Cricetulus griseus: one gene and its partners. The protein of the gene in region 4 interacts with the protein of the main gene of each other region in a pairwise test. Links are inferred from orthologs where the notes say so. Each region holds a gene or a part of one and is shown on either strand. Other genes may lie near its edges.

Region 1 (4,239 bases), on a different chromosome or scaffold from region 4:
TTTATTGGATGAAGTTCTTTTTATGTCTAGATTCCCATGTATCTACCATTATGGATGGGAAGTATGCTCATTATCTCAACTAACTTACCATTTTCTGAGTCATCACTGTCAAAAAGTCACTGAAGTTCATTTTTCCTGTCCCTTCCTTATCAATTTCACTTATCATCTTTTTGATTTCTTCTTTCTTAGGTTCAAAGCCCAGAGCCCTCATTGCAACCTACAACGAAAACAGGATCATCTAAATAAACACATATAAATGATGTAGACGCAAAAATGGCTATTGATGATAATAACAAAATGGTGAAAATGATTAGGGAACACTGTAAAGCTGATTTAATTGATATTTGCAATCAACTTTTATCATTAGATCATTGTTTCAGGTTAAATATACACAGGGTACCTTTTTCTGTTACTTTTTACAGGGAGAAAGGTGATAGGTAAAAGACAAACAACAAGGAAACACAAGGCACCAAAACAGGAATGTGTGCAGCTTGCCTTTAGTTCCTTGATGTCTATAGTTCCAGTTCCATCAGCATCAAAGAGATCAAAAGCTTCCCGGATTTCCTGTTTCTGTTCTTCAGTCAGTTCAGGCTTAGGGCTCATTCTTTTTCTCTGGCCACTGGATGCCATGTTTGTCTTCTTAAAAGTAGAGGCCTTCAGACATTATACAAACACAGAAGCACAGTATTATAAGCCATAGTCCATATTTTATTTATGACAGTTCTAGACATTCATAAATTTTTCATTTATGCTCCACTCTGAGTAATGTACATGTCATTCTATAAACTTTCATAAGCTGGTGAGATGTCTTGCTGCCAAGCCTGACAACATAAGTGAGAACCCAGCACCTACATGGTAGAGAGAATCAACTCTTCCAAGTTGTTCTCTGACCTTCATGCTCAGACTGAGTCCCCTTCTCCCTTACACAAATAACAAGGGTTCAAACTAAGTAAAATTAACCCCAACTCTAAAAAAAATCCTGAGAAGAAAAATAGAAAAACTCTCTTTAATTTAAAACCCCTTTAATAAGTATATTTTAGCTTTTAGTATCACATTGTAAAAAACAGAAAATCAGCAATACACTAATTAAATGACTGTGTTCTACCATAACTGTAAATTAAAACATCATTTCTGTTAATAATGTAATGTCTCACATGATTAAATCCAATTATATTTCACTGGGGAGCCAGCAGCCTGAAGGGACTTTTCATTTTAAAATAATATATTAACATTTTTCTCCTTGTCCCTGTATAGATCAACATAGAGCAAATGAATATATGAATATGAATTTCTGGTGTTAACATGACCAGTTTTTCATCACAGGATATAATTCTGGCCTCCACTGTCTTCAAGTTTATACTACAGATAGTGTATTCATTTGTACCTTTAATAGACATGTCACTTTAGAAAATTAAATTTTTTAAATCAAGATTTCTTAAATCAAAAACTTTTAAATATAAAGAAGCAACATTAGCCAGGCGTTGGTGGCGTATGCCTTTAATCCCAGCACTCGGGAGGCAGAGGCAGGTGGATCTCTGTGAGTTCGAGACCAGCCTGGTCTCCAGAGCGAGTGCCAGGATAGACTCCAAAGCTACACAGAGAAACCCTGTCTCGAAAAAAAAACAAAAAAAAAAGCAACATTAAAAACTCTTTGAATGAGAATAACATGTTTACCTAAAGGTTCAACATGCTTGCATTTTCTCCTTCTTTTCTAAAGCTAGTAAACAGCAAATTTGAGACCATATCTGTTTGTAAGTAATAAACTTATAATTTTATTATGAATAGATTGTCACAAATTTCTATATTGTATATTCAATTAAAGCAACACGGTGTGGTTTAAGTTTTCATTACCAAAGATGAAAAAAAAGATCCCTCCTTGTTCTAATGCCACTGCTAACTCAGACAGCTGATTAATGGAAAAATAATTTATACCAACTGATTCTAAAGATCTGCCTAATAAATTGAGCAATAAGGAAGTTTCCTGGAAAGAACAATTAATGTTTCTATGAACCTCTGACTCTTTAAAAAATATTGATTTTAGAGGCCAGGAAACCCCTTATTTTTCATCCTGAAAGAAAGCTAGGTGAGAAACTAATTATGCATACTTAACAGATATCAACTGTCTGTGAATCTGGGGATCTGAGTTCTAGACATGTACTTAAAACATCAACTTAGGATGCTAGTTCCCAATCCATTTAGCACTTGGTGCCTTGTCTGCGAAGCTCAAAGCATCTCCTGAAAGCCTCAATACATTTGTGACCATCAGAACATAGTAAATCTCTTAGTACCACGCATAAACTTTAGCAGGTGGCAGCGGCCAGGACGCCTGTGTCTGTCTGAGGTCTGAGTCTGTGGGAAGCCTGAGTGTTACCTGCAACAGAATGGTCACCTGTGGTTCCAGGAAAACCAGCAGAGATCAACAGGCAGATTAGGGGTGACTGAAGGTGACTGGGGGCGGGGAGGGTTAAGTGTTGAAGCGCAGGCAGGCTAGCGGCCAGAGGCTGTACTTTTTCTCCTACCCTTCCGGCATAGAGCTCCAAGGAAGAACTAGTACGCCAAAGCGAAGAAGAATGCAGGAAAGGCTGCAGGGCCGCAATGAGGCCTAGGAAGGGCTCGGAGGCACTACGCAGGGTCCATGGAACGCCCAGCACTTACCATCGCCGAATGGACTCCTCCGCGACCGGTTGTTAAGGCAACGCGTACTCGCGGCCTCGGCGCCTTTCCCACTGCTCTGCGCGCGCGCGACCCGCTTCCCATTGGTTTGCGGACGGAGAAGGTGGGGCTAACCTGGCAAGGTCCGCCCCAGGGTAAGAGGGCAGTGTGGTGGCGGCAAGGACTGACGATCTCATTGGACAAAATCGCGCTGTGAGCGTCAACTGGCTGCGCCGGACCCGCGCTAGACCAATCAACGTGAGGAAGGAAGCTCGGCTGATCATGGGCCCATACCTCTCCGTAGAAAAGGGTGTCTGGTCTTGGGTTGAAGTTCGCTGGTTGCAGGTTGCTAACAAGCTGAAGTCGACTGCAAGAGTGCCTAAACCGGGTAAGAGTTGCGGCCTTGCTCATGGAGGCTGCTGCGTGTGAGCAAAAGAGCCGGGAGACAATGAGAGAGAATGGGTGGGATATGGTAAAACCCGAGATGGGAACACAGACTATCTATGGGGCCAGGAAAGATTTGGCCTAACGGGTTGCAGGGGTGACTATTTGGGGCAGCTGAGGCCTAGAAAGGGGAGTGGGCATGCTGACTGTTGTATCAGCGGTTCACGGGGCTGGGACTTAGAAACTCAATGCAGGCGAGTCTTTGTGAATGTAGTTCTCAAGATGATGAACTGGGGACTTTCTGGGTCTAGAAAAGTCATCAGAATGTGCCCTTTTAGAACGTGCAGACACAAAAGTCACATGAGAAGGACCATTCCTGGATGAAACTTCCTTCAAAGAAAAGCTACAGGGATTTTGGAAATGTTGGATGCATAGAGCATTAAACAGAAATGTGTGCAGGGGGGGGGGTGGTGTTACCTGGAACTGTTCCAGAAATAATGGAGGTCCACGGTCAGCTACAGCAGTACCTCAACCATCACACATGCTTCCCTCAAGGCATAGAATATTAGTTTGGGGACATTAATGCCATAGCATCAGTTTCTCAAACTGACAAAGGCCAGAGAAACTTAACAGCATACTATAAATGTAATGTAGGCCGTTTACCTTCCTTCCTTGGAGCCATGAACCAGATTCAAAACTTTTGTATCCCATTCGACCACTCTGTTCCCTCTAGCAGCAATCCCCCATACCCAGCCCCTGGATTCTCTCAGTTCTGCCTTTGAAGTGTCTTTTCTTTTTTTCGGCTTCTTCCCAGCCCTTCATCAACATTATGAGCTGGATTTATCACCAAAGTCTCCCTGGCATGCAACTCCTCCTATCATACCCACACTGGTACACACCTCCTCATCCCTGGCTAACTCCCACCCAAGACACTGCTTTCATGACTGATAAACTCTTCCTGCATTGACCTTACCCAGCCCCATGAACTTTGAAAAAATACAATATTTTGATTAATTCTTTGAGAATTTTTGTCACAGATGTGTATAATTTTTTTGTCATTGTTTTGAGCTAGGGTCTCACTGTGTAGCCCCAGCTGTCCAGGAACTCCCTATATAGATCAGGCTGACCAGTCTCATGGAGATCCACCTGCCTCTGCCTCCTGACTGCTGGGATTAAAGTTGTGTGCCATCATGCCCAGCATTG
Region 2 (2,370 bases), about 79 Mb from region 4:
TACATTGATCCCAAGTGCTGGGATTATACCTGTATGTCACCACACTCAGCAAACCTAAAGTTTATATTTTATTTTTGAAGAGAAAGCAAGGTTTTATTGAGGAGTATCTGTCCATAATTTAAATAGTTCTTAAGTAGTTTTTCCTTAATTTAAAATAGTTCTACAGTAGCCTCATTATTATCCTTCAGAGCGGTATCCACTTAAGTGAAAAGCAATGGCTTGAATGACCTGAATTCTAACTCACCATACTAGGACACTCACTTGAAGGAATCACCAGTGTATTTATGTTATTTAAAATCACAGAAGTGTCCAGAGAGCTAGTTTTGTTGTAATGATATGGTTGTGGCAGGCTCCAGCCTAGAGAAGATTTATTTGAGGTTATTGCTCTTCAAAATTAAACAACAGAACTCACATAGTAAGTATCCTTACATTATAATTGATCTAGAGGTTTAGAAGCCAACCAAAGACAAATGAGGCAGGAAGAGGAAGCAGACCACACTGTTCTGTTATACTTTCACAGAAGTGGAAGCAGGAACCCCAGGCAGTCACTTAATAAAGATTGGTCTTTTTCATGATCTTAAGAAACTCTTCCTCGTTCACTTCTCCATCGCCGTCACGATCAGCTTCGTCGATCATTTCCTGCAGCTCCTCGTCCGTGAGGTTTTCCCCCAGCTCATTGGCCACACGCTTGAGGTTTTTGAACGAGATTTTCCCGGTTTCATCATCATCAAACAACCTGAAAGCCTTCAGAATTTCTTCTTTGGTATCTTTCTCTGCCATCTTCTGAGTCATTACAGCCAAGAAGTCATTGAAGCTGATCTTTCCTGTGGCCTCTTTGTCTACTTCTGAAATCATTTTCTTCATCTCTTCCTTCCTAGGTTCAAAGCCTAGTGCTCTCATGGCCACTTTCAATTCTTTCACGTCGATGGTTCCGCTCCCATCAGAATCAAAGAGGTCAAAGGCTTCCCGAACTTCTTGCTTCTGGTCTTCCGTGAGCTCAGGCTTAGGACCCACCTTTCTCTTGTAGCTGGTGGAGGCCACATTTGGCTTCCTTAAGTTGGACGCCATCTTCCACCACGATTGGGTCCTTAACGGCGCCCTGCCACCCGCGTGTGTGCTAGGTACCCCCGCTATTGCGCCTGCGCCAGCCCCTATGCACCTAGTGTCTGCACCATAGAGCCCTGCCCCATCTTAGATGTTATTGACATTATAATCCACAGTTTCCTCACTTTGACATTCACTTTCTGCAAGTTGATACCAGCAGGCAAGAACCTTGCTGTAGCTACTGTTGTCTCTACAATGCAGTTCTTTCCAAGCCTTTGGTTTGTGTCTGCAGTGCCTTGTGTGTATTTATTTGAAAGTCTGAAGCTCCTTTTTCATACTAATTAAAATAACTTCCTTAATCTGAAGCTACCTAAGGACAAAGGTGGGGTAATCAAGATTGAATTGATAACTTGGTATTAAATTCTAAAAAGAAGGAGGGAATACTCAGATCACACCATAAGATGGAAGCAATTACATGGAAAATTTAAAGAAGTTTGTCTCCTGACATTATGTTTAACCATAGTAAGAGTTTTCTGGCAGTTTCTCAACTCTGAAATGTAATACCCAGTAGAATTCACTTTAGTACCCGGGTTTGAGGTACATGATGCATTTTTGACTCGAACAGACAAGGGCGGAAGTGTTATATTTCTGGTATGCTGGCATGTATTTTAGAAACCCTAGCACTATACTTACTCTCAGAGCTTATCATACAATCCACACTCTGGTAATAAAAGTCACTAAGAAGGAAGGTAGATTTAGGGTCAAACTCTCTTTACAAAGGAGAAATCTACTGTCCCTTTAGAAGTCTATGAGTGCACTGTCAAATTGTTCTTTCTTTTAGGTCCACCTGAAAACTCATAGGGAAAATCTTTAAGGAAACAGTCAAGGTAACCTAAATAGAACTCTACTCTTAAAGTTCTCAACACAAATGCCTGGAAGTTTCATGCCTATCATCTTTCTTTTCTTTTAAGCCTGAGATATATGACCTTAAATCAAATAAACCCAGTGAAAGACATCTTACACCAAGCAAGCTCAGAAGTGCCTCTATTATGTCCTTTCTTATATGTGTAGGCTTCTGAAATAAAACTCCTACACTTTATGTGGTGAGAGCATTGTTTTGTAGATAATGCCAATGCTCTCCTTAGGTGCTGCAAGTAATAAGTCTGCATACTTTCATTTGGTCATGCTAGTTGGTTCCACCCTCATCTAGAGGATAGCCCGTTGTATTCAGTTACTGTGATCCCTCTTTGATTGTGGACATGGGAAGTGATTACACAGCACATATGGAGACCTAAACTTGTCTTTTAGAAATAAAAGGATAGTTAC
Region 3 (4,261 bases), about 13 Mb from region 4:
TTTTCAGTCTTGTCTATATTGACTAAATTGAGTTTTCCAACTTTAAGTTACCTTTGCTTTCCTTGAAGTGATTTCATTTTATGTATTAGAAACATCAAGTTTATAAGTGTGTGTGTGTGTGTGTGTGTGTGTGTGTGTGTGTGTGTGTTTGTGCCACAGTCATGGCACCTGTAGTCAGTAGACAACTTTTTGGGGTTGGTCTCTTATTCCACTATGAGTTTCTAGCAGGTTGCAGGTGGTGGAGATCAGACTGGTATAGAAGTGCTTTTAACCAATGCACTATCTTTGCTGGTCTGTTTAAACTTCCCTTTTAAAGGCGTAACTAAGTAGTAATAGTTTGTTTCTTTTACTTCCCAGGAGTCTGAAATTTATGTGTTGTAAGAATAAGCTTAATATTAAATGAGAGCATTTTTATCGATTTATTATTTCTATCAAGTTCCTTTGAAAAAAATCATCTCACATTACCAGGCAGTGGTGATGCATACCTTGAATTCCAGCTCGTGGGAGACAGAGACAGGAGGATCTCTGAGTTTGAGGTCAGACTGGTCTAAAGACTTGCAGGATATCCAGGGATGTTAACACTGAGAAACCCTGTCTCAAAAAAGCAACAACAAAAACAAACAAAAATTGTCTTGTTATTTTTCTGTAATTTATTCCTTCTAATTTAATTTTGTCCTTTGTTTCAAACATCTTCATGTAAATGGTTTATTTTCAGATTATCTAATAATTTAATATTTAATAATACCAGGTATTTTATTTGGTGCAAACATTCGGTTAAATGGAAAGTAGACTCCTGACTTTGATGCCATTCAGTTTAGCAGGTGAATGATCCAGGTGAGCTTCAGGAGGCCTGGTGGGTAATGAAGACCATGGGCACATAAACAGTGTTCAGCACTAGAAAATACAGGACAGAAGCAAACAAATACATCTCAAATCGCACACAAGTTGAAAACGGTGGTTTAGGTAGTTTTTCTGTAAATAAACTAACAGACCAACATAATGATGAGCCTACTTTAGTTTGTCTTCGGCCTTGGTGGTGCACATCTTTAATCCCAGCACTTGGGAGGCAGAGGCAGGCGGATCTCTGCGGTTGAGGCCAGCCTGGTCTACAGGGTGAATTCTTGGAATCACTTGGAAACGTTGAAAAGGGAAAACACTTGGTGGCTTAGTAGTTACTGAAATAAGAATGGAGAACAAAGCCCTCAGATTTACGTTTTGACCTTCTGAGTGGCAAGGGCTGGATCCCCAGTGACTGCTTGTGCTGAGCATTTTCCCTTCCCCCCCCAGAGCGCCCGAACCCAGCGTGGTGACTGACACCGGCAGCAGGGCCAAAGGTACTTGATTGACACGAACGGTGACCAATGAGAACAGAGGGCCGGCGAGGCTCCCGCCCCAATGGGCCGACTATTGGCAGTCTTCAGCCAATCGCAACCAGAAATCTCTGTTTGGTGGGTGGTCCCGCGGCCGGGAGGTTGGTGGCTGTTGAGCGGTTCCCGTGGAAAAGTCCTTGGGCGGAACATCTTGGCCGGAAGAGAAAATGAGTTTAGCTTTGAGGTCGGTAACGAGGAGGCCGTGTGTCCATTCCGCAGAGGGCCAGGGCGGGCGCGGAAGGGAAGCCGGGCCGGGCGCGGGTGCAGAGCGCCGAGCATCACGGCGGTGCGGCCCTTTTCTGCGGACTGCGCCGGCGCCGCATCGGGAGCCCAGTCTCGCGAGGTTTCCCTCCTGCGTGTGAGGAACTCGGGCCTGGCGGCCTCCTTCCTTAGGACAAGCGTGGGACAGCCAGGCTCTCTCCGCGGTCGAGGCGCCCTGTGCGTCGGCCGCCCCGGCGGATCTGGTGCCCTTGATTTCCGCCATTCTCGTCCAGGCACCCACCTGGCCCACTGGCTCCCATTGGCTCCTCACCCTGTCCATCTTCACGTGCAGGCGCTGTAGAGTGGGTAGACGCTGATGGCCCGGCGGGGGTGTGGCCCGGCGTGGGTGTGGCGGGCGGCCACCTCTGCTCAGCCCCTGCCAGCCTTCTGCCCTTCAGGTGTAAAGAGCCTACACACTCAGCCGTGTTTCAGGCTTTCAAGCTTCCATTTCTTAAAACCTAGCGGATACACGTGTTGTGCCTCATTTAAACATTGGCAGTCTTTAAGGCAGACGTTTTTGGCCCTAAATCCCTTTTTAGATGTTCTTTTACGCTTCTCCAGAGTTTTTAAATGAAGACGTTTAACCCATTGTTTATAGGTTGAGACTGACAACACTTTTAAACATCACACAGACTCAAATAGGAACATTATATGCTATTATTTTGGTCGTCTAGTATTTGTTTAGGTGCTTTTATATTTTGGCTGGTTAATATGGAATGAAAACACAAAGCACTGTTAGAAATGTATAATCTGAAAGCATTTTGAACTTGCAGTGTTAAAGTGACTCACCTTATAAGCTTTATGGTTAATCTTTGTAGTAATTGTGAGAATTTAATTAGAAGCTGTCCAAGGTAAACCATATATCGTGGTTGTCATTTGTGAAATTTACTTTCACATGGATTTTTATATTTGTTTTCATGCTCTTGGTAGGTAACATGAATAACAACTAATAGTGCTTTGGATTTTGGTATATAAAAGTACATTTGGAGTACAAGACGTTGACTTAGGGACAGCTTCTTTATTCTCCAGACTATTCTGCTTTGTTGAAGTTTAGAAAACCATTCTTTGTTCTAAGTGAGTTGGGTTGAAGTGGACTAAACACATTTTCCTGTGTCACAGAAGTGAGCTTGTAGTAGACAAAACAAAGAGAAAAAAACGAAGAGAGCTCTCTGAAGAACAGAAGCAAGAAATTAAAGATGCCTTTGAGCTCTTTGATACCGACAAAGACCACGCAATAGATTATCATGAATTAAAGGTAACAGTGTATTTGATGACACATCTCTTTTGTTTAAATGAATTGCACTTTTGACTGTTGCTTTAAAGTCTATTTTAAAAACTTGTTTTAGAACCCTGAAGCTGTTTTCAGTATCCACTTACAGGGGCTGCAATAAAATTGAATAAAAAACCCTAATATGGCTTTTAGAAACTCGTATTTAAATGTAAAAGTACATTTGGTGGGAAGTAAGGCTTTTTCATTCACCCAGGTGAAAGAACAGTTCTTAGCTTATTCTTCCCATTTTTGGTTTCTTCTGGAGGACGGAGTAGCTCAGATTCTTTAAAAAAAACATGTATGTGGCATGTGCATGTGCATGTGCCTGTGCAGGCATGTAAACCACATTGTGTAGTGTGTGGAAGGCAGAGTGGGGCTTTGTGTATCTTTCATCACCATCTACCTTACTGCCTGGAGACAGGGCACCTCACTGAATTGGAAGCTCATAGCCTAGGTTGGCTAGAGAGTGAACTCTGGAATCACATCCCGATCTACCCCTCAATGCTGGGGTTACGGACACTTGTAGCCATGCCTGTCTTTATGTGGGTGGTTACAGTTCCAGTTCTGGTCCTCGTGAGTGCAGGACAAGCGCTCTTATCCACTGAGCTATCACTTAAGCACAGCACAGACAATTTTCAGATTGAGAGAGTGTTACCTTTGCTCAGATGTTTCCGAGATTGAAAATGTATCCTTTCAAGCTTTTATTATTTATCTTTATTTTATATTTTTGTTGGACAAGGTTTCTTTATGTAACAGCCCTGGCTGTCCTGGAACTCAGCTTTGTAGACCAGATTGACCGAGAACTCAGATTTGTTTGCCTCTGCCTCCCAAGCGCTGGGATTAAAGGCATGCAACACCACCACCTGGCTCAATCTTTGAATTTTCAAAGATAATACGGACAAACTCTTATTTTTCTTTTCTTTGCTACAAAGGATGTACATTGTCTGATGCCTTATGTTGATACATGCTGAGGGACTATGTCAAATTTAAGGCTTAAAATTACTAGTAAAGGAGCTGGGCGGTTGTGGTGCACACCTTTAATTCCAGCACTTGGGAGGCAGAGGCAGGCGGATCTCTGTGAGTTTGAGACCAGCCTGGTATACAAGTTCCAGGACAGCCTCCAAAGCCACAGAGAAACCCTGTCTCCAAAAACAAAAACAAAAACAAACAAACAAACAAAAAATCCAAAACTACTAGTAAAGATTGGAGAAATTGGTGAGGATCTTATTCAGTCTACTAGCATTTATGAAATCTTTTAGTAGCCTTAATGTTTATAGTAGTTTTAATTCGGCAACATTGTAGGGGGGTTTTAAGCAATCTAAGTATGGGTAGGAACTATGTAGTGAGAGGATAGAATGTC
Region 4 (3,569 bases):
AACCCTTCTATTAAGCACAACTTGGCTTGTATCAGATACCAGATCTACTGCTGACAGTTCACAAAGGTCCACCTTTGGGCTGTAATCCAAACTATCCTCCATGCCCACATAAATACTGCTGACAGAGTACCAGTATGTGGTTCATAGAGTAACTTAAGGGATCCTGAGGGAGGTGTCCAGATCATCTTTAAAGATGGGCTTGGGCATTTAGTTTTCAAAGTAATCTCGGCATAAAACTTCTGGTTCAAGAACTGGAATATAACATAATCCACTAAGAGATAATCACTACTGGGTTGCTTTGACTTTAGTAATTTTCATAAAGTTAAAAGTCAACTGAAGTTTAAATAAAAATCTAGCTGTCAAAAGTGCCAGGGACAACACAGTAAATATAAGGCAGGCCCCATGTGATAGATACTGCTTTACACCATGGACTGGGAAGAAACCACTGATGGTGAGGAACATTTCCACAGTCCCATCAGCATCACTGACAAACTCAGAATCTTACGTGGTATCCTGAAAACTGTACCTAACCTGGTTAGCAAAGCATACCTGCTAGTGTAGGAAATCTGTCTGGTGCCACTTCTCCCTTCGGATGAGACGGCTGTGAAGCACTGGACTCAACATTTGGATTCACAATAGCATAGCGGAGCAGCTCTTCATACTCTTCCTATGAGAAGCCAATCACAGTGATGTATTATGACAGCTATAATGCTGCATCCAACCACTCAATTTTTTGTTGTGTTAAGAAATCTACTTAACCACGTAATAGTCATGTTCTTACCACAATACAGAAAAATTTCTCTCTTATGCTAAGCTTGATTCCTTTGAGTACTTCTGGTATGACTTTTACATACAATTAAAAGTTTAAAGATGTAATGGATATTAGTGATTCAATATAATATTTTCTCTCTCTTCTTTGTTATGTTTCATATCAATTTAACTGAAGATGAGATAAGACATGCTTTAAAACACTATTACTTTCAATTCAAGTATTTAAATTGAGACTCAGCTTATATTTTCTCTCTTCGGTTCTTACCTTTTACCCTTTCTTCCTTTCTTATTTTGAGGCAGAATTTCCCTACATTCCACAGGCTAGAACTTGCTATGTAACCCAGGTCTCTAGTAAGCCTGCAATTTTCCTGCCTAAGCCTGAGTGCTTGCATTACAGGCATTTACCACCACACAAGGTACCAGAATTCTCTTGATATTATGTAACTCAAAAGAAGCAAACTGGATTCTCAAGCTTATGAAACTACATAGGATTTTTTTGCCTAGATTCAAGCCCATACTCACAGGGGTAGCTTGCTTATTTTTGCTGCTGTTGTTAAAGGAAAATGCCATGGATTTGAGTTCATAAAATAAATCAGTATGATTATAGCTTTCTTTTAGTATTGGAATTTTAGGTAAAACTATAAAAGGAGTTTGTACTATTCTGTCTGAAAACTGTAAAATTTCAATGTGAAAGAGTGAGATGGTTTGAGTTTCAACTTGGACTCTATTTATTACACATATGCATTGAGCACTAGGTGAAAGAAATACATTTTTTTATGCAGTGTACATTAATGTTATGGAAGAAGAAAAGAAGACACCTATGGAGTGACAAAAGAAAGTCAGCTGACAGAAAACGCTAACACCAGAGCCCTCTTCACATGTCTATAACCAATGCTTTGTTAGTGACACCCCTTCAAAGCAATAAAACCCAAGATTTAACTGTTTTCTAGGATTAAGTAGAAGGTGCAGCAGGTGCAGATGAAAACACCTGTAATTGTAGCACTAAGAAGTGGCGATAAGAGGACCAGGAGTTTGAAGCTAGCCTGGGCTAAACAGTGAGAGTTCCAGGATAACTTGAAGCTACAAAGTGAAACTCTGTGTCAGGAAAAAAAAATTCATTTGGCATATCATGATGTCCAAAGTAGTTACAATTCTTTTAAATTATAGTAAATTAATTATAATTTTTTAAATTATTGATGACAAAAGTAATTCTAATTCTTTAAAAAGATTTAAATATTCTTAAATTAAAAGAACTACAGTTATACCTGGTTGTTAAAATAAAAGGAAATCCCAAGTTTTTAAGTTATTAAAATAAAAGACAACCCTAACTTGATAAATGTGGATAAGATACAAGGCATTCGTTGGTTTCTAGAAACCTAAATGTGAGTTGACCCTAATAAAATAATATACAGAATTCCAAGTTGACTTACTAATGAATACCCATTTCTCCTTTATTCCTGTCATTAATAAGCCCCAGGGTTTGACCTGGGCAAATGGTCATTTATTTCTCCTATCTCCCACCGGCTAAGGCAGTTAGAAAACATTGTCTTTGGGTTTTGACTCTCTCATGTAAATATGACACCTTACCTAGTCGGGCTCCTAACTTGTCTGTCAGTGTCCAATTAAGGTGGCAGATTATGCCAAATGTTGTGGCAAACGGAACCAGAACCTCACTGCACAGAACATGGGAGAATTCTGGGCTCTAGAACCTCAGATGGGCTGATGTTCTGTTACTTTATATTAAGAATGAGGGCATTCAGCAGAGGCAGTTAAATAGGAACATTTCACTGTGTGAAAGCCTTTTTAGAAAATCTTTTGAACAGCTCATGGCTATTTTCTGAAACTTACAACATTATACTAGTATGGTGAATAAATAATATGTAGCCTGTAATAGTCAGGATATCGTTAATAAGTAAATGCCAACCAACACGAAACCAGAGCGAGCCGAAGCAGCAGAGACAAGAGAGTACCGTGTGCCTTGGCTATTCCTTTAAACCTTTCCCAAGTCACCCTGACGGGCGTGGTCAGGCACACCTGTAGCCAGCCCCTAGGAGGCGTGGTTATAGTGTCTCCCTACACTATACTCCCCAAAATAGTAGAGAGTTCTCTAAGTTTAATAATGTCATAAATACAATATTTCATTGTAAATGGAATCAGTAAGTATAAATATATACGTCTGGTTTTACCACAAATTAACACTTTATTTTTGGGGTGGTGGTGGTATCTCTTTGTAGCCCTGACTGTCATGGAACTCTCTATGTGGACCAGGCTGCCTTAAACTCAGAGATCCTCCTGCTTCTGCCTCCTCAGTGCTGGGATTAAAGGCATACACCATTACACAGGGCTTTATGCTTTAAAAAAAAACTGTAATAAATTTAGATGTCTTCCTACCTGAAGGTCTGTGGAGACAGAGCTGTCATGATCAGAGTCATTGTGAGCAACATGAAGTGAGAATTTGTCCTCATCAGATGACATCTTGTACAGAAGCTATAAAACAGCACATGTTAACTTTGGTTGTTTCCCATAATGCTTAAGCCAAAGCTTTTAAATACACACTAGTGAGCAATGCTTTAACTTGCAAACATTTTTTCATGTCATTTAAAAAATCACCCACTCAACATGTTGAGTGCTTACAGGCAACAATCATCAGCTCTCCTCTCCCCCAAACCTTACTCCAAACATTAGTGCATTTATAATACACTGAAAGAGATGAGCTAAATGCATAAAAGGTTAAAGAAAAATACTCAGGACAGTTTCCTGCAGGGTCTGTTAGAGAGAAGAGCTGTGGTCACCATTCT

Evidence for each region.
Region 1: the proteins of Poc5 (region 4) and Cetn2 interact in binary tests that used the Homo sapiens proteins (3 or more experiments, as listed by UniProt). The link is inferred for Cricetulus griseus from reciprocal best matches to the Homo sapiens genes POC5 and CETN2.
Region 2: the proteins of Poc5 (region 4) and centrin-1 interact in binary tests that used the Homo sapiens proteins (3 or more experiments, as listed by UniProt). The link is inferred for Cricetulus griseus from reciprocal best matches to the Homo sapiens genes POC5 and CETN1.
Region 3: the proteins of Poc5 (region 4) and Cetn3 interact in binary tests that used the Homo sapiens proteins (3 or more experiments, as listed by UniProt). The link is inferred for Cricetulus griseus from reciprocal best matches to the Homo sapiens genes POC5 and CETN3.

What each region holds. Positions count from the first base shown.
Region 1 is NC_048604.1:2,886,889-2,891,127, reverse strand, and holds the start of Cetn2 (centrin-2), read right to left. Parts: upstream 2,803-4,239; 5' UTR 2,758-2,802; coding exon 2,656-2,757; intron 2,651-2,655; exon of another isoform or gene 2,520-2,650; intron 2,501-2,519; exon of another isoform or gene 2,372-2,500; intron 655-2,371; coding exon 496-654; intron 218-495; coding exon 89-217; intron 1-88. UniProt on the Homo sapiens protein: Plays a fundamental role in microtubule organizing center structure and function. Required for centriole duplication and correct spindle formation. Has a role in regulating cytokinesis and genome stability via cooperation with CALM1 and CCP110.
Region 2 is NC_048595.1:236,454,188-236,456,557, reverse strand, and holds centrin-1, read right to left. Parts: upstream 1,069-2,370; coding exon 550-1,068; downstream 1-549. UniProt on the Homo sapiens protein: Plays a fundamental role in microtubule-organizing center structure and function. Plays a role in sperm cilia formation.
Region 3 is NC_048595.1:302,231,366-302,235,626, forward strand, and holds the start of Cetn3 (centrin-3), read left to right. Parts: upstream 1-1,419; 5' UTR 1,420-1,537; coding exon 1,538-1,554; intron 1,555-2,750; coding exon 2,751-2,886; intron 2,887-4,261. UniProt on the Homo sapiens protein: Plays a fundamental role in microtubule-organizing center structure and function. As a component of the TREX-2 complex, involved in the export of mRNAs to the cytoplasm through the nuclear pores.
Region 4 is NC_048595.1:315,069,150-315,072,718, reverse strand, and holds part of Poc5 (centrosomal protein POC5), read right to left. Parts: intron 3,259-3,569; 5' UTR 3,247-3,258; coding exon 3,163-3,246; intron 668-3,162; coding exon 550-667; intron 1-549. UniProt on the Homo sapiens protein: Essential for the assembly of the distal half of centrioles, required for centriole elongation. Acts as a negative regulator of centriole elongation.